Linked DNA regions of Schizosaccharomyces pombe. Changing the gene in region 2 together with the main gene of any one other region gives a genetic interaction. Each region holds a gene or a part of one and is shown on either strand. Other genes may lie near its edges. The genes, in order: eme1, nur1, cuf2 and pfd5.

The links.
Region 1: mutations in nur1 (region 2) and eme1 together harm fitness more than expected from each alone (negative genetic interaction), as found in Schizosaccharomyces pombe (2 studies listed by BioGRID).
Region 3: mutations in nur1 (region 2) and cuf2 together harm fitness more than expected from each alone (negative genetic interaction), as found in Schizosaccharomyces pombe (2 studies listed by BioGRID).
Region 4: mutations in nur1 (region 2) and pfd5 together harm fitness less than expected from each alone (positive genetic interaction), as found in Schizosaccharomyces pombe (2 studies listed by BioGRID).

What each region holds. Positions count from the first base shown.
Region 1 is NC_003424.3:3,294,492-3,302,461, forward strand, and holds eme1 (Holliday junction resolvase subunit Eme1), read right to left. Parts: upstream 5,423-7,970; 5' UTR 5,377-5,422; coding exon 5,290-5,376; exon of another isoform or gene 5,234-5,289; coding exon 5,142-5,233; exon of another isoform or gene 5,058-5,141; coding exon 3,029-5,057; 3' UTR 2,851-3,028; downstream 1-2,850. Other genes in the region: glycerophosphoryl diester phosphodiesterase Gde1, read left to right, coding at 1-2,850. UniProt on the Schizosaccharomyces pombe protein: Interacts with mus81 to form a DNA structure-specific endonuclease with substrate preference for branched DNA structures with a 5'-end at the branch nick. Typical substrates include 3'-flap structures, D-loops, replication forks and nicked Holliday junctions.
Region 2 is NC_003421.2:448,472-454,258, forward strand, and holds nur1 (protein nur1), read right to left. Parts: upstream 3,293-5,787; 5' UTR 2,945-3,292; coding exon 1,994-2,944; 3' UTR 1,738-1,993; downstream 1-1,737. Other genes in the region: SPOM_SPCC4G3.12C (ubiquitin-protein ligase E3), read left to right, coding at 1-1,258; DNA repair protein Rhp42, read left to right, coding at 3,898-5,787. UniProt on the Schizosaccharomyces pombe protein: Has a role in meiosis.
Region 3 is NC_003421.2:1,529,797-1,534,629, reverse strand, and holds cuf2 (Cu metalloregulatory transcription factor Cuf2), read right to left. Parts: upstream 2,505-4,833; coding exon 2,473-2,504; exon of another isoform or gene 2,423-2,472; coding exon 2,330-2,422; exon of another isoform or gene 2,286-2,329; coding exon 1,877-2,285; downstream 1-1,876. Other genes in the region: SPOM_SPCC584.03C (GTPase regulator), read left to right, coding at 1-1,608.
Region 4 is NC_003423.3:4,024,641-4,030,516, reverse strand, and holds pfd5 (prefoldin subunit 5), read right to left. Parts: upstream 3,112-5,876; 5' UTR 3,100-3,111; coding exon 2,913-3,099; exon of another isoform or gene 2,859-2,912; coding exon 2,749-2,858; exon of another isoform or gene 2,706-2,748; coding exon 2,600-2,705; exon of another isoform or gene 2,535-2,599; coding exon 2,473-2,534; 3' UTR 2,401-2,472; coding exon of another isoform or gene 2,212-2,400; 3' UTR 2,171-2,211; coding exon of another isoform or gene 1,427-2,170; 3' UTR 1,374-1,426; downstream 1-1,373. Other genes in the region: COP9/signalosome complex subunit Csn1, read left to right, coding at 958-1,018, 1,078-1,352, 1,427-2,170, 2,212-2,400; SPOM_SPBC215.01 (GTPase-activating protein), read right to left, coding at 3,441-5,876. UniProt on the Schizosaccharomyces pombe protein: Binds specifically to cytosolic chaperonin (c-CPN) and transfers target proteins to it. Binds to nascent polypeptide chain and promotes folding in an environment in which there are many competing pathways for nonnative proteins.

The DNA.
Region 1 (7,970 bases), on a different chromosome or scaffold from region 2:
GAAGTGAAAGACAAGTTGGAAAAATTGTCAATTCACCATCCCTTGAAGAAGGATCTTTTAGCTTTTATTCAACTGGATATTGCCGCAGAGGTCGTGACCGCTTGTATAAATGCACCTGATAGTGTACTCGTAGATATACTGGCTGCCTCCATCATTGCGGGAGCCAAAGCTTGTATGCGTGAAGTTATAGGAAGAATTGGTTTACGTTCTGAGTGCCTGGCTTCTGCATTACGTCGTGCAATTAACAACCTCTGTGGTCCTGACGAAGGAGTTTTATATTTTTTGGAGGTGTTGAAACAAATTTGTTCAGTGGTTTATGTGGATTCATACCATTCTAATCGTTTACTTTCAAGGATTCTTCTTGTAGAACGAAATAGCAAGGGACAGAGTGTGATGCACTCTGTTGCGAAACTCGGTTGGGCAGGATTGTGCAGTAAGTTTTGTGAAATTGTTTCATCAATCCCTGACTCTGAGCCATTGAATTGGATGCTTCCATGTTGGCGCGATGTAATGCACGACACTCCCTTGACTTTGGCTATTAAGGGAAATCATGTTGAAGCTCTTCATGCTTTGCTTTCTGCTCAGGATAAGGAAACAACCTCTACCAAGCCGGGACCCGTTCCTCCTTTGGTCTTGACTTGCTGTGTAGGCGATTACGATTTGATCGTAGAAGAACTCATCCTTGCAGGATTCAATCCTAACGAAGTTGATGCTAGTAGCAATACAGCTTTACACACCGCTGTTCGTTATAACAGGCCGGAATGTGTTAAAATGTTACTCAAACTTGGAGCAAACCCTAGCGCAAGGGATTTTTTGAATTCATGGACTCCTTTGATGCTTGCATCAGCTACTGGACTTTCCGAAATTGTTTCAATTTTAGTTGCCTCGGGCGCTTCGGTTGACGAAGTTGATTCTTCAGGTTGGACTGCTATGGAACAAGCTGTGGTTCGGGGGTATTTACACCTAGCAGATAAACTTAGAACTCAAGTCGCCTTGAGTGATAAGCCTGTTAATTTACATACACTTTATATCAAAGCCTCAAGTTCCGAAATGAGGAGCAGAAAACGTGCCATGGATTTACAATTATCTCGTTCAGTGGTCATTATTCGAATCAGTGATTTGGCCGGTAGAATCCGCGTTAGTCTTCAAGGTGATGATGCTGTGTATGTTTCAGGGCGGTCTCCATCTTTTGCCGCAAGTAGACCATCTTCAGTAGATTTCATGTCTCAATCTACTGACTCGTTGAGTAAAAACGACACTACTGCTTCTAATGGCTCTATGACACCATCTTCTAGCCAAAACAACTCAGTGATTATTGATATCCCTCGCTCCCATTTTGATAATGCCGGTGAAGTTTGCTTAGAGAATTTGGCGGAGCCTGATGAAATTGCCGACGACTCTATTCATTTGCATTATGATGCCGCACAAGAAAATAGTCCGCAACCTGTAAACGGGTCTTCTCCACCGTATGAATTGGTTTTCGTTACAAGAAATACAGAAGAAGCAACTATTACAATTGATTTGTTAGCAAATCGATCCCATAAAATATTAGGGAGAACTGTATGTTGCTTGACTTCTCTGGTATCTGATTTGGGGAATCATATGCAGTCGTTGAAACCTTTGGCACCCTTACCATTACTTTCGAGTAAAACTCTTAAACCAATAGCTCATGTTAATGCGGATGTTCTTATTTCTAAGGTGACAGTTGATGATAGATTTTCGTCAAATGATGGCATAAGTACCCCTGCCTTATCGCTGGAAGCAGTTTCCAACGTAAGTCGCACTGCATTGGAAGACGCTGAGCGTTCTTTACACAAATCTGCCACAACTACATCAGAATCAGGGAAATCGAATGGTGTTGCGGTTATCGGACATCGTGGACTTGGTAAGAATCAGCCTGATCGTTTGAGTCTTCAACTTGGCGAGAACACTTTACAATCGTTTATAAAAGCGGCAGATCTTGGTGCTTCTTACGTTGAATTAGATGTGCAAATGACTAAAGACATGGTCCCAGTGGTATACCATGATTTTATCGTAAACGAAACCGGAACGGATGCACAAGTGCATTCGCTGACTTTGGAGCAATTCTTAGGGGCTTCCCACTCTCCTTCAGAAGAAATTAAAGATGATGCAAGTGACATTCAGCAGAAGAGACGTCCTAGGGCCTACAGTTCCTCATTTACACCTTCAGGATCACAGGTTAATTTCGGTGAATTTGCTGAAGAAAACGCACGTTTGAAGCCTAAAGTATATAAGGGTAATGCCCTTGGTCATACGATTTGTGCACCGTTCACAACTTTAAAGGATGTTTTGAAGGAAGTTCCACAATCCGTAGGACTTAATGTGGAATTTAAGTACCCCATGCTAAGTGAAGCTGAGGAAGAGAAATTGCTCCCTATAGCTTATGATTATAACTTTTACGTGGATACCATTCTATCGATAATCAAAAAGTATGGTGGTAAAAGAAAGTATATTTTCTCTAGTTTTAATCCTGATATATGCATCTTACTTTCTTTGAAATCGACTAATCCTGTTCTTTTTTTGACTGAAGGAGGTACCGCTTACCGAACAGACGTTCGTGCAGCATCGCTTAGACAAGCTTTAAAGTTTGCCTCACAGTGGAGTTTTCTGGGTATCGTTAGTGCTTGTGAACCGCTCATTATGTGCCCGAGGCTGATCAAGGCAGTTAAACAATTGGGTTTATCTTGCTACACCTATGGTGTTCTCAATAATGATGTTGACAATGTCCGACGCCAAGTACGTTTTGGAGTTGATGCTGTCATTGTAGACAATGTGTTAGCCATTAGACGTGCCTTGAACCAGTACGATGAAAGTTTGGAATCTGATTGATCTAGAAAGTTTGAACGAATACTACCGACGATATAGAAGATGAGGTGCTTTAGTTAGAAACCGATATTAGTTAATTTTTAGTTAGAAGAAAGTATATCATAAGAAAATTTCATAGATAGAAAAAAAAAGGAAAAAATATCATGATAACAATTAATGAAATACAAATAATGACCGATCACTATGGTGCATCACTGGATGCTTCTTTACATAAGAAAGTGTTATATATACGGCGCGATAAAACCGGACCTAAATTTCGTTCACTAATACTAGATTGGATGACAACGTTGGTTAATGATTCCTCGCCGTGAGTTTTTAGATGATGAATTAAAGATGGTATACTGTCAAATTGATCGCATATGGCGTTAGCAATGTTAGGTGTAACTCGTAGTATTTGCCGCAACATAAAATTTAGAGAGTTTTCAATTCTATCGGCGGATTTGACATGTCCTATTTCGGTAGTAGAGGCTCTAGCTGAAAATTTAGAAAAGTGCTTGTAACGAGATAAAGCTATGTCGCCGGTAAAGGAAACTATCCATTGAGCGGTTTCTTTTTCGTCATTTGAAGTGTTTATAAGAATACTATGTTCGAAACTGAAGCGGACGATTTCACTCTCTAACTTTTCTTTAGTAAAGTTTTGATATTTTGATAAAGAACCAAATAACAAAGGTCTGGTACCGCTATTAACAGCTGCTGCATATTGACGATTTAATTCTGCTTTCAGAGATTTAAAATAGTTTGGGATGCCTTCCAGCAACAGTATTAGCTTACAGCCTTTAAACTTTTCAGACATTTCATGAAAAAAAGTATCAGCTTGGTCCTCTTCGATGTATTTTATAAAATCCCGGCATTTCAACCGTAGTAGGGCAAAAGGTTCGATTTGTTCATGCTCTATGCTAAGTTCAAACCGGTTGGTAGAAGAATTAAACACATTGTTTACCTTCCTTTTCCACATAATTGAGTCTTTTGGTTGATTTGAATTGACAACGAATTGGCAGTTGTATGAATCTAATTGAGAGCGAACAGTTGAATACCAAGATGAAGCCCAATCATCCGGCGATAAAAGAATTATCTCAGATAGGCATTCTTCTTTGGTTCTCTTAACTTTGTTAATTTTTTGAAGTTCCTTTGAATTCTTTCTGTCCAATTCTTTCGCCATCTTTCTATTCAAGCTGTCAACCTTATCTAAAGTTTTTGATTTTTTCAAAGAATCTTCGTAACGTTTCCTCTTACGTTGTGTATTAGAGTCTAGCTCGTACGGTTCCAAGCTCCTAGAGCATAATTTTCTCATTTTTTTTAATTTATCCAAATTTTTTTTATTTGAATTTGAAGTAGAGGCAGGAGGCGTATCGGTAGTCCTTGAAATTTTGGGTAGTCTCATTTTTTTAAAAGCTCTACTTTGAATGGAAAGTTTGTTTAGAGAAGGAAGTTCTTGAAAACTATCTTCCTGACTAGTATTGGGTTCAATTGAAGAATGCTTGGATGGAGAGGTCGGGCTATCTAAGTGCACATCAGATGTGAGATTGAAAGTTCTTTCTTGATTTTCTACGGAGGTTTTGGAACGGTTATTGATGAGGTCGATTGTATTGGAGCTGTCTTGGTTAGGAAATAAATTAGGCGTAGAAGGGGCATGTGATAATCGATTAGAAGTAGGACTAGCGATGGATGGCATGCATGGCTTTAGTATAGAGGATGAGGATGTTAGTGCATCGTTGAAAGATTTTGTTTTTGTTAGCGGACTCTGGGTAAATGGGAAATGATCGTCATCATTCGTGTCCAGTAGTATATCGTGAAGGGAGTGGGATTTTTGAAGGACTGTGGAGAGCGGCGGGGAGGACTGGAAATCTTTTAAGGGTGAAGAAGTCAAAGAAGCAGCTTTTTTAGATAAAGGGGAAGCCACTTGTTCATTGTCGTCGGGAATAACGATGGGAGAGGAGGTTTTCGATGACAATTGTGTAGTCCTAGGAATGGTGGGAGTATGGAATAAATGAAATTCTTGGTGTTTTGGTTGCGAGGAAAGGGAATTAGGGGGAGAAGAGTTTAAATTAATGATTTCGACGCGTGAAGAAGGATTTAAATTCGTGTTTGTTGACTGGTTTGAAGAAGTTAAAGAGAGCAAAAGATTATCGGTAACCGACTTTTTATTAGTGATATTAAGGGCATCACGGGGACTAGGGAGAACATCTTCGGAGCCGGAAACTAAAGGAGTACTGACCCCAAATGAACGATTAGCGAGATGTGGAAGAAAAGTGTGGAAAGGAAGGAAATGCTGGCAACAATATTTGTCAACTTACCTGAAACTTTTTAGCAAACTATCGCATTGAGTAGATCTTTGAGGAGTATCAAGAACAGTTATAACATTGTGTTCTGACAAAGCAATATTGTCCTAAAAAGAGGGTTAAAAAAAAAGCGAACAGAAAGAAAGGGAAATACGCGACAAACCTTGGAAGGAGAAGCTTGTGAGCTTGAAATGTCAACATCAGCTTCAGAATCGATCACAATAGCGGAATCTGTAGACTGCAGAGTCATTCAATGCATGTGTAGTGTTTGTTTTCCGAACAATAGAGGGTTTGGTGGTTAGGACAGGTAGGGCAAAGTGTACACAAGGAGCCGGCAGGGAACGAGAGTTGGTGACAGAAATAGAGCGAAAAGAAATGAGAAAAAAAAAAAAAAGTTTGAAGTAAAAAATTTAGATAGGAATGGTATTAAAGAGTTTGAATAATTAAAAAGATTGGAGGTTTGCGTGGATGTTTGAGGATATTTGGTATGGAAAGTATAGAGAGTAGTAGGTTTGTTTACATATAAGTATATATAGGTTAGGTGAGAGATGGGTAAAAAATGGAGAAGAGAAATGGATGCAGGAGGAGTTTAGATAAGATGAATAGTATAAAAAAAGGAAAATATTTATTCTTTTAGAAGTAGTTGAAAGGATGTCGTTTTGTGTTTGAGAATTGAAGATTATTGAAATCAATGAGTGGGATGGGTGAGTATTTCTTTTGCAAATACTGTGGTTTAGTGTGTCATTTTGAAAGAATTTTAGGTAGAAGGGCGATACGGTATTTAGGGACTTTGGTAGTACGTTAGAAAGTGTAAAAAGATTGAATAAAATAAAAATTTCAAAGAAAAGAAAATCAATTAATTTAACCAAAATTAAAATAAATTCAATTCAAATTCAATAGAATAAAATACTCTAATATTTAAAGCTCAATAGTATAAAAATAAAAATAAAAATGTACTAGAGTTTCTTTTTCATTAGTCTGTTTCATCAATGATGGTAAACAAAAAAATAAAATAAAATAAAATAAAACAAAATAAAAATGAAAATGAAAATGAAAAATCCTTTGATGCAATGTTTCCAAATGGGTTTATGCTTACTTTTTTTTTGTATTCTTTAATTGATCAACGATACAATGAATGATGAGTAAAAACTTTTTTTGTTTTTACCATGAATACATTGTTTTTCTTTTTTTTTCGGGGGGGGGGGGGGGGGGGCTTTTTTTTCCTTACTCTTCTTTGTCTCTTTTTAAAATTTTCTTTTTCTATTTAATTTAATTTTACTTTTCATTGCAAAATCAATTCTACTTATTAGTTCGCAGTTTAAAACATTTTTTCATTGCGATCTGTGAATTTTGCAACCAAACAAAGAAAGCAGAAAGGCAAGGGTGTAGAGTATAGTAGAGCAGATCAAAGCAAAGCAAAGTAAAGAGAGAGAGAAACCAATATTCGCAAACTGAAATTTCTCCTTTTTTAAGAGGACCAACGAGTTGTGCGAAATTTCCAAATTATTCATAGTAAATTCAACTGCATTATACAAGTATAATCAATACACACTACTATCTTTTATCATTCTTCACTAAACAATCATTAGTAGAGTACGAAAGTCATCGCTACATTTTACTTGTGACCAAGCCAAACCTTTTTTCCTTATAGTCAAGACAGTGTGTATCAAGGCAGCGTATGTGAATAGCAACAGCGTATGTATATGTGTGTGTATCATTGTTCGCTATAGCTTTTTTCTCTTAGTGTCAACGTGTGAGTGTGATAAGTTGTATTTTTACAACGGAAATCCTTTAAATAGACTCTTATACATGTTGATCCAGCAATAAGCCAAAAAAAGTGCAATACGTCAAAAATCGTAGTATTCGGCAAAACAATTGCATTCAGTATGTTTTGATTCTTAAGAGAAAATCTCTTTTTTTCTTTTTTTTTTTTTTTTAATTATAATTCTTGTTTCCTTTCTCGCCTCTCCTCTCTTCTCTCTTTTATCTTTTTCTCTTTTCACCCTATACTCCTTTTGCTACCACGACCATTGTTGCTTCGGTTACGCAGAGTTTATTTTCTTCGGATAGCAGGCGCACCTTTATCTTAACTCCGGGTTTAGTAGCCGGGAGGAATGGGAGAGATGGACGATCAGAGCTCCATCTAAAAAAGTAAAATGCAGCGTCCGATGGGCCGGAAGCGTTGCAGGTCTTTTCGTACGGAAGCATGAACACAGGAGATGAAGGAACATGAGCAAAAAACGAATGTAGACAAAGACAGCGATTCAAATAGAAATTGTATTTGCTATTACTATTACTATTTAACAGTTCTTTACTAAACTATCGCTATTTTATTGTTATCGCTATTGTCATTGTCATTGCTATACTGCTCTTTGTCTACTGGGGGCATCAAGGATCCTAACCCCCATTCTTCAAATCTCTGTCTGGGCTAGGGCAGGCACCAATAACTAGGATAAAGACTAAGACTAAGACTAAGACCAGATAATCCATCGAAGGATATAGCGTTGTATAGTGTGGTGTAATGCAATACGATGGATTCCAAGCTATCAGTCGGATCAAAGTTTTAGATGAGAGGAAGCGATGAAAAGAAAAGAAGAAAGAGAAGGAGAAAGAGAAAAACAAAAAGAAAAAGAAAAAGAAAATAAAATAAAACAAAAACAAAATAAACAAAATAATCCTTCTTACAACATCTTGAAATATTCTTTTGCACTCAGACAAATTTCTTTTACTTATCTTTTATTGGAATTATTTACTGAACATGTCTGATGCTCCCTGGTTTCTTGTCATTCATTACTGCATTTCTATACTATTCTATTCTATTGATCTTTCTTTTTCTCCCATTTT
Region 2 (5,787 bases):
CTCTAATAACGAAGCTTCAGATACAAATGGACCGGCTTTGGTGCCTGTCCTTATCGTTTGTATGCGTAGCATTTCCGAGACTTCCGAGGATCATGCGCCAACTATGACTCAAGAAAATCAAAGCCTTCATAACGAGAGTAGAGAAAACATATCCATTAACGATATAACCGAAAGAATGGCTCAGTCCACTGAATTTTCCACTGATCTTCCTCCTACATTCGAGAGAAGCAATTCAACTTTTTCACATCCTGAACCTACAAGAAGTGACTTTAGCCAGGCTTTTACGCCGGTATCCGATTTCCCTGCAAATCTTTTTCCTGGTTCCAGAAATTTGTTTCCAACGTCCAACTCGGGTAATCAATCTACTTCTTCGTTTTCGCGCTACAATCAACCTACTGTTTCCGTGGATTTAAGGAATTCAAGTATACTAAGAAGAGCTCAAGAACCTGTAAATGGTTCAACTGGAGAAAATCACATTGGAGATGATTACATTTCTTCATTATTGGATAGTTCAAATTCCAATTCACAACGACCGTTTTCAACAGTGCCTTCTGAATCAAATGTTTTTTCGAGGAACGCCTCCGGCAATTTCTCGATGTCACAAACTCATCAGCCGACTACCGATAATACCTCCTCATTTTCCACACAGCCTGGAAGGTTATCTACAGGACTCCATCATTTTCCGTCTGATCGAGATTTACTGTCTAATCAAACTAGACGTTCTAGCTTAGCACGGAGCTATAGATTTGAGGAACAACTTTCTGTTGATGATAATACTAGCGACTTTAGTACGTTGGCTTCCAATGGGGCTGCCGACATGGTTACTCAAACGCATTCAGAGGGAACTTTCTCTAATAGCACCCATGGTGATTGGCTTATCTATGTGTTTGGTGGTCTGTTTCCAGAACATCATCCAGTTTTGTCTACAGTTAGCTTGTTTAGCGATAATCCCATGTATGAAGACTTGTTGGCTCTTACTACATACCTGGGTCCAGCGAAGAAACCAGTCGCTTCTCATGAAGATGTGAAACGATCGGGCGGACTTTTTGCATATTTCGATGATGCTTCACTTTCTAGTGCTGATTCTTGTCTAATATGTTTAGAAACTTATACTAACGGTGACATATGTCGCAAGTTGCAGGCTTGTAAACATTTTTTCCATCAGGCCTGCATCGATCAGTGGCTTACCACTGGTAATAATTCCTGCCCGTTATGTCGGGCTCATGGGGTTACGACACAAGCTGAAGAGGAAAATTAATTTTGACTTGAAATTAAAGCTGGCCTTATTCTATGTTTGTTCACTCTCATTTATTTTCCTTCATCCGTCAAATTTGTTGAATAATTGTTCGCACTATTTGCTTGTGAATGAAATCTACATAATAGCTCTTCCCATTTTTATGGCTGCTATAACCTAAAACTGCTTGACCTTGTTCAACTATCTCTTTGGGACTTTCTCATTTTTCTCATTTATGACCTTATTGATAAAATTTTTGTAATTTTCTACTTGCTGCACGGAAACGAATTGTTTTGTTGTGCGTCTTTTGTTAGAAATAACAATTGCCTTTTTTACAAAGCTGAGTTTTTTCTAAAAATCATTTTAGTTAATCGGTTTGCACGTTTAATATAATTTATTTTCCTTTTAGAAATTTTGCTTCGATTTTTACATATTAGTTTAGATACAAAATTGATGCACATTATCACTTTTAAATATATTTTCTAACAAACAAGAGTATTCATATTTATAATCATGTAAGGATTTTAATAAGAGATCATATTGAATAAGCTTAAATTATAAGGATTTGGTTCTAAGTCGATCATCGAAAGTTTTTAGAATGACGGTGTTTGATACCCTAATTAGTCTTCATGAATACAATTATTTCAGGTCTGAATTGAGTTATGACTTAAAACTTTTCGAAAATAGGAATTAACAGAAACAACAATGATAAATGGAAATGCAGTGGGTCATTCAAAAACCATGTAATTCAGACAAATATTAAAAGCGAGAACTACCATCACTAAGATGTGGAAATCTCTTAAATGGTGAGCTGCTGTCACGACTAATTCCGCTGTCATGAAGATGATGAACACTTCTTCTTTGAAGCGCTATAGGGGTACGGGGTGTTGAAGTGAGATGATCATGTGAAGAACTTCGGTGTTCAAGGAAGGTATCTATGGGTTTTCGGGGTGTGAAATATTCAATAGATGCGGTTGTGGGACCACGAGTAGTATTAATGGCAACATCTCGTTTAACTACCGAAAGTCGAGGTTCTACAAATTTCTTATCATACTCAAAGAATACCTGGCGATGAAGATATTGTTGATCTTTCAGCAGTAAGGAAAATTTATTGACAAAATGCAATGTTGTAAACGAAAGGAGAAAAGTCAACAAAGTCACGCGTAGAGAAGTGCTATAAAACCATAAAATCAAGGCATGAGCAGGAGAAAATAAGCAAGCAAAATTTAGTAAAAATTGATTTGGGCTCCATACTTTCAATTCAAAAACTTGTTCATCGCCATCATCATTATTTGAGTGCTGGAAAACTGGTTTTACATTGGGAGTAGAAGTCGTCGTGCGTTTGTCTTGAGGCAAAGTTCTATACAGCTTATTTTGAAATCGAGTGCTAAATATGAAATTGAGAAAGCTGATGAAAAGAAAACAAATTGAGAGAAATGATAGGAAGGCACGAAACCAGGACCTAGAGGTGTTGATGGACTGCTTATCCACAAAGAGCTGGTTGCGTTGAACTGGTACATGCGTACTTTTTATATAAATGCGCATTAAGAGAAAAATAAAATTGACAGCCAAGCTAAAGGGAATCGAATAACGATCTGATACTTTATCCCACTCTACACTGTCAAATTGTTCGCAAACATAGATAAAGTAATCGATCGGAAGATTGATTATTTTAGAAGTCAGCGATGTACGACGGATTAACTTTCCCATTGAAAAGATTTTTAAGCAATGTTTTGAAATTCAGGTGTACTTTTTGAGTATAAAACAACGCCGAATTAGAAATGAAACAAACCATGGACCTGAAAGGTAAATTCCGATATTCGTATACTAATGAACGAAATTAGGGCACTTCTCCGTTTCAGGATTCAAACCTTACGTATTAATTAGAGTAGCAAAGGCTTTTTAATTAGCTAGGTCGAGCTTGCTATTATCGACTTCAATTGCAACAATGAAGGATAAAAAGTTTTTTATTAAGATAACTTTTTAAATCCGGTACGTAAACAAGTGTGCAATAAAAAAGAAAAAAAAAAGAATTTGCTTTCGCAGGTTGATGTTCCTAAGTATTGGTGTTATTGATGGTTTCAACTTTACCACTACTACTGCTGTGCAAAATCAGTCGTCGATTTAAAATTCCTATTTTTAGGAAATATAAGCTCGATCAGTGACATAAATTTAAACAGTTTCGTTTGACGTTTTACTAATTAATGAATTATTTCCTTAAAATTTAACGGCTGAAGTTTTTTTTGACTTATGTTTATTGTCTCTTATTAATAGTGATGCATGTGGTTTAACTTTTTATTTAATAATTTATTTTCATGTTATGTTTCAGATTTAAATTTTTTAAATCTTTATTTCACGGTTGAAATCAAAAGTAGTTAATATAGCTCATAATATTCAGCAAACAAACTACTCGCCATTCTTGCGCAGTTGATACTGACCTCTTTTTCAAAGGACTTTTTAATAATCATCATCACAGCCATTGTTAGAATTTTGCTTTCTTGTTGGAGAGATTGCTTGAAATAATAATTCTTTAACTAAGAATATATCAGATGTGGCTGTGATTACAACTTTTTATTCAATTTATCGTTATTGATATTATTTGAACCAGCGGTTAAACAAGCATTATCCTAAAGTTGATTCAATTCACATAAACTCTTTGCTCAATGCCACCCAAACGCAAAGCATCCAAGAACTCTGTTCGCGGAAGGAAACGTAGGACACGGACCAATAACTTACCTCTTAATCCTGAAGTGAAAGAGGAAACTGTTGTATCTTCAACTCACCGTCAAACTCGTAGCCAGTCGAAAAAGCCAAGTTTGTCTTCCTCAGCGGAACCTCCTTCTGAGAGTTTAGATGACAATATATCAGCGTTAAACTCACTTCAAAGGAGCGCATCTTCATCCGAAAAAGGTTCCGATGAAGACAATGAGAAGTTAGGCAGCTCAGAAGATGACGAGTTTGACGACGATTTTGACACTTGGGAACAAGTTGATCTTTCTCCTAATAAACAAGAAGATAAAAAAGATTTACACATAGTCACACAGCATATCACTCCTCAACTTACAAAAGAATCGAAGAAAGGCTCTTCTAGTGCAATGGATAAAAGCATTCGATTATCTATTCACATTATGCACTTTACTTGCTTGTTGTACCATGGGTCAGTAAGGAATCGCTGGTTAATGAATTCCTTACTTCTTGATGGGCTGCGCGATTTGCTTGTCGAAAAGCAACCGTCCGTAGTGGAGGCGTGGGTTTGTAGTAGCCAGACGCACGAGGATTTGTTAAAATTGTTAAATGGGCTTCGGATGTGGTGGAATAAATCTTTTAAAATTGAGAGTCATGGGCTTCGGAAGTTGGGGTATCGTACTTTGAAACAAGGATTTGATATCGGCTTTTCGCCAGAAATATTTCATAACTTTCATGAATACCAAGCATCCTTACTTTCGCTAAAAGGAAGCCGGGATTTGGCGGCACAGGGATTTACTGCTCTCTGTCGATCTCTGAATCTGAAAGCAAGACTTATATTTTCTCTTCAACCTTTGACATTTTCTACTGCTTCCTATGATGATTGGTCTCCACATATCCTCCCTGAAGAAACTAGTACATCTATAGATGACGACCTCCGCTATCCTATTTTTTGGACGGAAATCTATGATCAAAGTGAGAAGAAATGGATTGCGGTAGATGCGGTTGTCTTGAATGGGGTATATACCAACGATATGACTTGGTTTGAACCCAAAGGAGCGTATGCAGAGTCAAAACATCTACGAATGGGTATTGTTGCTGCATATGATAACGATTTATACGCAAAAGATGTAACTTTGAGGTATACAGATTACCAATCAAGTAGGCTTAAGAAAATTCGACACGTTTCTTTTGCAGATAAGTATTTTGATTTTTATAAGGCTATTTTTGGGCAACTAGCAAAGCGCAATAAAGATGCAGAGGATATATATGAAGAGAAAGAACTGGAAAGTAAAGTGCCCATTCGCGAACCTAAAAGCTTTGCAGATTTTAAGAATCATCCTGAATTTGTATTGATTAGACATCTTAGAAGAGAAGAAGCATTGCTTCCTAACGCCAAGCCTGTGAAGACAGCAACCTTTGGTAACGGTAAGAAAGCTACCTCTGAGGAAGTGTATCTCCGAAAAGATGTGGTCATATGCAAAACGCCTGAAAATTATCACAAAGAAGGACGAGTAATTAAGGAAGGAGAACAACCTCGAAAAATGGTGAAGGCGAGAGCCGTCACAATTAGCAGGAAGCGTGAACACGAATTTCGGGTTGCTGAAACAAATGAACCAGTGCTTCAGGGTCTATATTCTTCCGATCAAACTGAGCTATATGTTCCGCCTCCAATCAAAGATGGTATTATTCCTAAGAACGGTTATGGTAATATGGATTGTTTTGTTGAGAGCATGATCCCCAAGGGCGCAGCACATTTGCCATATCGAGGAATTGCTAAAATTGCCAAGAAACTCAACATTGATTATGCGGATGCAGTTACAGGGTTTGAATTTCGTAAACATCGTGCGATTCCAGTTACTACAGGT
Region 3 (4,833 bases), 1.1 Mb from region 2:
AACTTCGCGTTGAAACATAGTATATCATTTGCAGGAAAATTAGCTGTTCAGCAAGTTAGCAGCTATATTAAACGTGCCTCTGCAGATGATCAAAGTGAATTGGAGTCTGTGAAAACTCAACTGCTTGAAATGATTCGAGTTGTGACGCCTGCTATCGAACTAATTGAAATAATGTCAGTCGGTGAAAATGAAAATTTTAAGAGTACTAAGCAATTAGTGGATTCTTTGCACGCTGACATCGAACAATTCACCAAGCATGTTTTAAGCGCCGCTCATTCGGAATTTCCGCCTTCCTCAGAAAAAGAAACTTTGCAGAAGAACGTTGATACGTCTATTCTTCGTGAAATGAAAACTTTACTTCTCAAAATTAATGATGCAGTTCCTCTCTTAAATCTGTCCATCACTACTTCTGGTGCTTCTATTTCATCTTCTCTTCCAAAATCTACTTCATTTTCCCAACTTCTACGAGCTAATTCATACATATATAGGGCGAATGTTGCATTTACTGGAAATGAACCTTTACAAGTTGGCCCCACATTTTTCCTGCGAACTTATAAAATTATAGATAACCACGCCAAGTCTGGTTATATAAGCAATGATTTAGTCATGTGGAAAGAAGAGATGCCTGTTTGTATCGCCAAAATGTTTCGCATGCCTCCTCAACGGTTGAAGTCCAAGGATACGGTTCTAGCCTATGCTTTATCTTTAAAACAATCTTTTGATGATGATCGTTACCATGATGAAGATGAGACTCCTGTCACCAAAACCATTTCACTAAATGATGTGCGCACGCTTTTTTTTAGTTTGTCCGGTAAACTTCTTCGGTTAGATGATGTACAAACTCCCGTATTATTACTCAAGTATGCAGATGATGAAACAGAGTATTCTTCAAATACAGCACCTTCGAACTGGATAGCTTTAGAAGCACTTCCTTTGGTATCAATACCTAATGAATCATTAGACGAATCTGATGAACTTGCAGAATCTCTTAGTGATTCTGAAGCTGCTAGGCTACAGCTTTTAGGCATCAAAAAACAAGAATCCGTTGCAAAGAAAAAGTCTTCCTTTCCATCGACTATAAAAGATCAACCTAATTTAACTTTACTGGAGTATTTGATTAGATTATGCGCGCTCGAAAGTACTACCCAAGAATCAGTTTTACAATTACCTGACGAACAAATTGCATTGTATCTTAAAGATTATCAAGGAAGAGAGAGGCCCCGAGATCCGGCTTCATATAATGCCTTAGAAAATCGAAGTGAACTAAGCGCCAGTCCAGGTTCAGTATCCTCCTCCAGACATTCTGGAATTTTTGCGACACCAACGTTTCTGTCACCATGGAATATTAAAAACATACCTCTTGTTACCCCTGAAGTTTCAACACGTCAAACGAAAAATGTTGATGAAGAGGATTCAGCTTTATTGATGGCTAGCCCTTCTGTCCGGAAGTCCAATTTACTTCCTCAGGAGGACCTCATTTCAAAGGATTCTGTGATTAAATTAAAAGAAAACCCTTCTGTTATTCCTCATTCCGAGCCTGAATCATCGTCGAAAGTTATCAACTGCCAGGCTAAATTAAATGTGGAAAAAGAAAAGAAAAACCCGTGAAAACTTTATCAGAGTAATATTGACGCTATTCAATACACAACTATTCTAAATTTCACTTCCCATGGGAAATCCTTGAAATGGTGTTTGATCCCCAGTAAATTTGAATACATAGATTTCTCTAATGTTATATGCACCTTTTTAGACGACCAAAACATTCAAATTACTTCATCTTTTTATGATTGAATACTTTATGTGAGAGTACTTATACATATGATATGACAATAACCTTCATTTGTCGCTATTTGGAATAATAACGAAAGTTGTGAATTCAAGGGATTCCGGATATATCGTCTTTGGAATGTAAGTACTTTGCGAAATTGAAAATATCGGCCTCTTGGTTTATGGTAAAAGAATCGTTTTCTTTTTCATTCAATTGACTTGCATCAATGCGATTAGAAGCATCTGTTAGTGAAAGAGGTTTCCTATATCCTAATATATCTTCACTGATGGGTAGTGTTCTTCCTAAATCGAAGGTGTAGGCTTGACTTGCAGGATTTAAAGAAGAATTCATAATATCTTTGTCGGTTGAAAACAAAAAAAGGCTAGCCAATATTGGGTTTTTCTGAGTGAAATTTAATAACTCCTGATACTCATTGGCGAAGGGTAGAAAAGGCTGCAAATGACAAACGCATTTTAAATTACTCTTAAGTTGTTGTTTTATGGCTCTGCATTTTTTGCTGAATTTCAAGTTAATATTTTTTTTCTGATCAATGTGACATACCATAGTAACGGCCTTCCTCTAGTTCGAACTTCTATCAGTGCCCTTTCTTGATGCTGGCAGGATGAGCCTCGATGACCTCGAAGGCATACAACACTAGAGTAAGTGTTAAAAATTTTATCTTATAACCATACAAAAAGTCTTACCAAGCATAATTCTTACCGTCAATAATGATCATGATTGAAGGTATTTGTGATTAAGGGAAAAGAAGACAAGTAGGATTCGAGTAAATAAGCTAGTCGAGGAACGTTTTAAATAAATTCCTCTTATACGTTCTCTTCCTTTAGGTTGATAAATTGTAAATGACAGCTTTTTCCCAAATTCCTTTTTCCTCGTCTCTGCTTTAGCTTTCTGATCCAGAAGAATTGCACAACGGATATTAATAGAAGACAAGACGAACAGCTAAGTGTTTTAAAATAATATACTTTACTTTTAAATATTTCCAATGTTTGTTGTTTGTCAAAAGTTTGAGTGCTGGCATAAATTATTTATAAGCTCTAGCTATGGACATTTGTTTACATATTATGGGATAAACAAATACATCAACTTATTGACACTAACCAACAATAACATACAAAATAGGAAGGTATTAAATCACTATGTTCAATGTTTTTGAGCACAATTTCGTAGAAAAGATAATTTTGATTTAATGAGTGTGCAAACTGATCAAATTGTGATTTTTCCTCGAGGCGATTTCATTCTATGTTTTTATGATTGCGTCAATTCTCTAAGCAGTTTTGCGATTTTCTGCACTCTAAACTTGTTAAATAACTTTTGTTTGCAAAAGGTACCAGATGCTATAAAGACTGGATTTTGTTAATATACTACTTTATATTATAACATATATGATTTTCAGATTACAAAACAGCTTAAAAGTTTGCAACCTAAAGACATAATAACTTTTTTATTGATTGCTCATTTATTTTAATTGATTATTATTTTTCAGGGTTATATCGAGTTACTTTGTTTTAATGTCAGGTTTAAAAAAATAATTAAATGAAAGTAAATGTAAAATGAGGTAGGCTTGTCAGACCCTTCAAATTTTTTTAAAAAAAATTGAAATATTTCTTTCAGAAAGGTATGATTAAACTCACAATTTTTTTCGATTTCAAAAAATCTTTTAATCAATTTGAATATTTGCTACCTACAAATATTGTCACATAATAGAAATGTAGACGAAGTGATTTCATCAAATTAAGGAACGTTCAGTATTTTAAAAAAAGATATGTAAATTCTACAATTTGTGACGATTTGGAGATGCTACTATTTGAAATGTAAATGTATTTACATAAATGTATATTTGCTGCTAGATGCTGATATACTGGGTATAATGAACATAATTACAGCACAGTACTTAGATGCATTTAGCGCACTATGAATAAATCAGTAAATATTGAATACCTGTCAATTTTCTGGAGATAAAACTAACTAGCTAAACTAAAATCATATAATGGAGCTTCTAAAATCAAGTACGTTGCTGAAATCGAACACATCAATACGTGCGGTTCTTTACTCAAATTCACTTGACATTCTATTTCATGTTTTTCAGAATGCGAAAGATGATAATGTCTTTCTGATCAGATTGCTACAAGATGAGACTACTAAAAGTATTGAAATTTAGAAAACCTTATAAAAACAATAACTACCTTGCACACACATTTTCTTAATTTGATGAGAATAAAACTGCTAACCCCAACGGTCGTTATTTATCGTCTGGGTATCCGTAAATCTCTGTATACCTGTTCAAAGATATACAACGTCACATCTGTCAACTACATTCCATTATGTTGTTAAATCCCTTCAAATGTAAGCTACGCAGTTTGGTATCTGATTTAAGGATACGTAGAACTGCGGTGAGTTTTCCTTGTGATCTATTATATTACAATACACAGGTTGTATAAGTAGCAACTGAGTATAGGTATTGTATTAACTGAGTTATAATGTTACCTATCACTAATATAGCTTATAACTGAACTGAGGAACGAGGTTCAGCAGTAGCTCTATTTATATTATTCAGATAATATAGATCTTGATAGATTATCATTAAGATCAATCTCAATATCGTATCATACATGGTACTATATATAATTAGAACATGTGACATATAGTGATACGCAACGTAGTGTATTATAGCGTAGTGTAGTATTGCTGACATCAAACAATTCTTTAATTACAGTAAGAAAAAGCACCTCCATTATCCTTAATAAGAATAACGAGCTATTGAAAGAATACGTTGTTTATACCTTTAAATTAAGCGATTATGTCGCTTTAAAGTAGCAACAATTGGTGTGATACACAAGCGCAATCACGCAAGCAGTAGCTCTCCGAACTGGTTTATTTATTTGTTAAATTCTCAATTTTACTCTTTACCAAGTATACCTAAATATCCCAGTACTTTGCTTAGGTGTAAATTCCACGTTTGGTAGGAATTTTAGGCATTTGCAACTGAACATTTATATCTACAGTTTAACTAGAAAAAAATACACCAAAATTTTAAAACGTTTAAC
Region 4 (5,876 bases), on a different chromosome or scaffold from region 2:
TGCCTGTTAAGTAAAATTATAGCCTTGCCTGACCATTTCATCATACATATATGTAGGTGTGCTTCTAAGCGCACTAAGTATCGTTATTTGATTATGTTGTTTAACCTTATATTCCCTAATATAAAAAGAGGAAAAAAAATAGAATAGCAGTTTTCCAATTGTAAATTTGACACTACTCAAATGCCTTTCACTTTCAGGATTTTTTTATCTCTTTAGTTTGTTCTTTCCAAGTAGAATACGCATATATTACACTTCTCTTAACAAAATAATTGTTAATGCGAAAACATATAAACAATAAACTTGTGACAGATACAAAGATTTTGTCATTGGGAGGACAAAGTAGATACTTTATGTTGATTGGATTTTTAAAACGAAATTATGAATTCTGCTCGTAAATTTCTTTACTATCGTTGTCTTATTTTCTAAGTAAAGAAGTTACATAACCAAACTTCCTATAACTCGAAGTAGATTAGTAAATTCAACCACCTTAAGTTTCCTTTTTTTTTAAAAGAAAATTTATTATTTTTTATTTAGACTTCAACAATTCTTTGGCTATAGATTTGTTCGTTTATTTTTTAAATCTCAATTAGGAAATGCTTTAATTAGAGTTGAGCATTGTTTCAAGGGAATAGTTAAAAGATATTTGCAACAATTTTCATATTTTTTATTTTTATTATTGAATACATGGGGTTCTAATCTTGGTATCTCATATTAATAGTAAACTCATATCCTAACTTTAGATGCGATTTTGCTTGGAAATTTGGGGAAAGAAATAAAATCAATATGATATGTTTTTCTCGTTTCCGTAAAGTAGAACTAATTAACTACATACATCTTCGACTTGAAAAAATCACCATCTTATTATAGCTTTTATACATCTGGTACTCGTCACTGGCCTATAACCAGTTGGCCAATTCTATAACCTACAGTGTTCCGACTAGTTACGAGTTTTCTATTATGAGCTTAAATCTACTAGTCAATCAGGAAGAATTAAAGAGATATCTGGATGAATATGGTGGTAAGAGTTTTTCAATTGATGCATTTTTGCAAGTCATTCTTTTATTCACAGTTTCATAGTATGGTCCAAAATATTTCGCGCGCTGTTTGTCGCCCGTAATTCTAAGCCGTTAAGAAGTTTTTGTGTTCATTATGCCATTAAAGAATTGAAAGAAAAGACATATAATCTAGAGTTGTACCAGTCTCTATTCGAGGAGTTTCAAGATTGCTTCGAAAACGAGCAGCTGGACGTAGAATGGGTTGAAAGCGTTACTTTTCATAGGAAACAAAATCTAGAACAATTAAGAAGGGAACTAAAAGCCTATAAAAACAACTTAATACGAGAATCTATAAGAGTATGAGCTACAAGATAACTTTTTGCTTCACAGACTTTTTATTACATCCTTTGTTACAATTCTAACAACTTTAGGCGGCACAACTAGATTTAGCTTCTTTTTTTGCTGATGTGGGCCAGTTTGATAGTGCTTTAAGATCATATGCCAAAGTTCGCGAATATTGTACAAATGCTGGACAAATTGCTCATTTATCCTTAGAGTTAATGAGAATTTCTATTTGGATTGGTAATTATTCTCATGTACTAGCCTTCGGGTCTCGCGCCAAGTCTACTGTTAGTGCAGCCATGGAGCTAACTAGTCCTATTTATGCATACTGTGGATTGGCCAACTTTTGCTTGGGTGATTACGAAGAGGCCCTGGCTCATTTTTTAAAAGTTGAAACTGATACCTCTGATGGTATTATTACAAAAACTGACATTTCAGTGTATATCTCACTTTGTGCACTAGCGTGCTGGGATCATAAACGTCTGATTCAAGAGCTTGAAAGAAATGAAGAGTTCAATGCTTTGTCAGATTTAGACCCTTCCCTGAGACGTTGTTTGCAAGCGAAATGTAATCGCAAATATAGTCTTTTGCTTGATACATTACAGCAAAATGCTCAAGACTATTCTTTAGACATGTATCTGGCTCCTCAATTGACAAATTTATTTTCCCTTATTCGGGAGCGTTCACTTCTTGACTATTTAATTCCTTACAGTGCTTTGCCGTTCAGCAAAATTGCAGTTGATTTTCATATTGATGAGAACTTCATTGAGAAAAATTTATTAGAAATAATCGAAGCCAAAAAATTAAATGGCAAGGTGGACTCTCTTCAAAAGGTAAGTATAATAAATCTGCTATATTGGTCTAACTTTATAAGCGTGTTTATATCGAACCTTCTTCAGAGCCTGAAAACTTCGAGGACATAAAAAATATCGCGCAAACTAGTTTGCTTTACAGCAAGGCTCTTTACTTACAAACATTGGCGGCGATGAACACTGAAAATACTGACGACGAAGCTCCAGTTATCGCTCAAACGAACATTACCGCGGAAGATTCACAGAACTAACAAAAAGCATGCACATCATATAATTGGTTAATCCTTTACTTACTTTTTTTGAAATTTCATTAATTATTTAGCTTATGAAGATTTAGTTGCAGCTGTTGTAGCTGTTGCCTTTTGTTGCATAATGTTTTGAACGGCTACAGAGAATTAGCAAATTGTTGATAATAAGATAAAAATTGATCTGTACTGTAAATGCTCATACCTCTAATTTGAACTGATTTTGCGTCAATGGCATTGTTGAGGTTCTCGATACTGCTGGCGAGATATTCACATTTTCTTTTATAATATTCGGTAGCTTCTCCAGCGGACTAATGTCGTTAGGTTTAAAAATCTCTTATATATTAAAAATACCTTTTCAACGTAATAACCAGTCCCAATATCGACCAACAATTTACTGTTTCCTAAATTCAGCTTTCCAGGAACATACAAGCTTGAAGTCAAAGGTACCAAAACCTCCTTTCCTATTGACAATAGTTAGTGAAACATATGCAAAAAAAATTTCAGTTTGTCTATACCATCGTTCTCAGCCCGCACAGCATCGTTAACGTTTGCCAGGCATTCACGAAATTTCAATTGAGCACGTCCTAGTTGTCCATAGGAGGTCGATAGATACTCTAGCTCAGAATCTAACTGTTTTATAACTTCTGATAATTGCTCCAAGCTGAGAGAAGTCAAATCGACCGCTTTATTACCTTCAGCCATTATTACGCTTCTATTAGAACAGTCAAGATACGAAGGAACTGGTAGAAATTCCAACGCTGCACTGCATTAAATTACAGGTACATGGTAATCCATTTCAATATACAATCAGTTAGTTGGTTGAAACAATATTTGTTTTAAACAGTTATTCAGAATTATACCAAACAGTGAAAGTAGAATCGAATATGTTATTGAGCAGAGGGACGCTATAGAATATATCAATATAGATGATAGATTTTTCAATAATTAATAAATTATGAGCATGAAGATTAACAAAATTTGGGAAAATAATACTAGTTAGGATGCATTATAGTGCCATTGATTAGAAGTTTAAGTATAGCTTTTTAAGCATCATTTTTTTTGTATGGATCAAATTGAAGCAAATCTTTATCGTTTTCTACAACATCACCAACATCATCTTCGGTATCTGAAGAATTTGAAGGTGTTTTTTCAGTCGCCGTAGTTTCCGATGTGGTAATTTCAGAAGTAGTATTTTGATTGCTAGTACCATTTGCGGTACTTGGACGAGAAGCGGGTTTATGCCCACGAAATGTTTTACCAATCCTATTGGTATCAATTACCAAAGAATCCAATAAACCTCTCAAACCTCCGGTGGTTGATGATTTTTCTTGGACTGGAGCTAAAACGATAGAGTCGGCGAGTCCTCCAGAAAATAATTGCTCTAATAAACCAATTGATAAAACAACCATTCTAAAAGTGGGAAGACTAACTTTGATATCACTATTAGCACCAACAGAACGGTTTTCAGAACCAGTACTGCTCATATGGTCGCTTATATCAATCAACGTATCAGAATGACCATCAGGACTAGCTTCATCAGCAAAATGAAAGCAGCGTTGTATGAATTCGCTAACTGCGGATAGATACTCATCACCCATAAACCTAGTTAACCAAAGAATAGCTTCTGAAACCTTCAAAACGTCTGGTTTATCCATAAAACCATCTCCATTAAAGTCATAAAGCTCGAATATAAAAGATATATTGCGCATTACATCCCTAAATTTCAATTCTGCAATACCGGACACCAAATCCTGTAAAGATAATGATCCAGTCATGCTTTTGTCAAATCGTAAAAACAAATGACGAAGAAAGGATGATGAATTATTGATAGCCGCTGCATCCAAACCTTTCGCCCATTCAGTAACTCCTGCTAAAAATATACAAAATTCGTCAAATTCCAACCGTGTATCAGTAGAGCTGCCTAATCCAACTCGATGTTTGGACGACAATACTTCATGATAACGGTCGTAAATATTACTTAAATCCGTACGTGTTAATGTACCGTAATTTTGTAAACTCCTAATTTGTGTTCTCTTTGCAAATGACTCAATAGAATTCATAACTCCTTCGTAATGTTTTTTCCTTTCATCTTCAATTAAAGAGTGTGTTATATGGCTAAACTTCTTGAAAGCAGTTACCAATAAAAGTTGAAACTTCGTGATAGAGGCAACGCGTTTATCTGTTGCATCTTTATAAGCCTTATCTCCCAATGATGAAAAATAATTTTTTAAAATTGATATCAACATAGTGTCTTCTGTAGCCTTCATAATTTCAGCTTCGTTGTCATATAGGATAGCCATTCCAATTTGAAACAAAACCCTTGGACCCTCTAGAAAGAAAAAGTCTAACAACCTAAACGCATACGGTAAAGGCATTGTGCAAAGGAAAAGCGACAAAAACCACGGCAAAGAAATGATGCTAAGTTGAATGTCTTTGCTTACAAAATGCGCATGTAAGTTAGGCATTGAGCGTTGAACCAAACTTTCGTAAACTTGTTGATCAATTAGAGTGCCGTACATCGTCTTTGAGTAATAACCCGGAATGTAATCTTCACAAATCTTATGCATCAGAAAAAAGGTTTGTTCCTCGGTGCAATGAATTAAAAGAGCAGCTGCAACAATATTCATTGCCTGACAATAACCAACCTCTTGGTTTTTCCAAGAAAAGGCTACTAAAACATTTCGCAAAGCGTTGATACCTTCTTCATTTTGATAAGCAGGATATTCTGGAAGACTTCTACCTAAATCCTTTTCTATTTCCTCTAAAGAAAAAGATGTTTGACCAGAATACACTTTAAGAAGATGATCATATTCATCTGAATTCTCTAAACGAAAGTACATGGAGCCTGATGTAAGCTCCCATATTTCACCACGAAGTTTATTGGGCAATTCAATTCGGACCAATTTGGAGAAGAGAGAAACTCTGATTAACGAAAGATTTGCACCATAAAGTAAAAAATACTCTTTCCACATTCGTAGCTTTGCCCGTTCTCTAGAGATTCGAGGATCGGTGGGATAACCATATCGAGCACCGAATCCATAAGAATCTTTAGTTTCTGGTTCGGGAACATTGGGTTTGCAAAGGCGTTCAGAAAAGAACTGTTTGCTAAACTCGGAGGACCGCTGCATATCAGCTTTGTGAGATACAAGCTCTTCTCTCAGTAATTGGCAAAAATGTGCAGCAGTGGTTTCAGAAACCTGCAGAGATATTCTGTATTCGTAACCATTGCTTGTCGATACCGACAACAATTGCTCAAGATCATTGCTTTTCACTCGACTAACTTTTCGAATTATAGTATATGGCATACAAAATTGATTAGACTCATCATCACCTTGAAAAGCTATATAATCAGTAAATAAATAAAGCAGACCATTAAATGAATTAGGGTCTTCCAAGTTATTATAGTGGACAAATCGAAGTTGACAGGGCAAACTGTAGAGGGCAAATTGAGATTCAAGAAGTCGAAACTTCCATCGTAA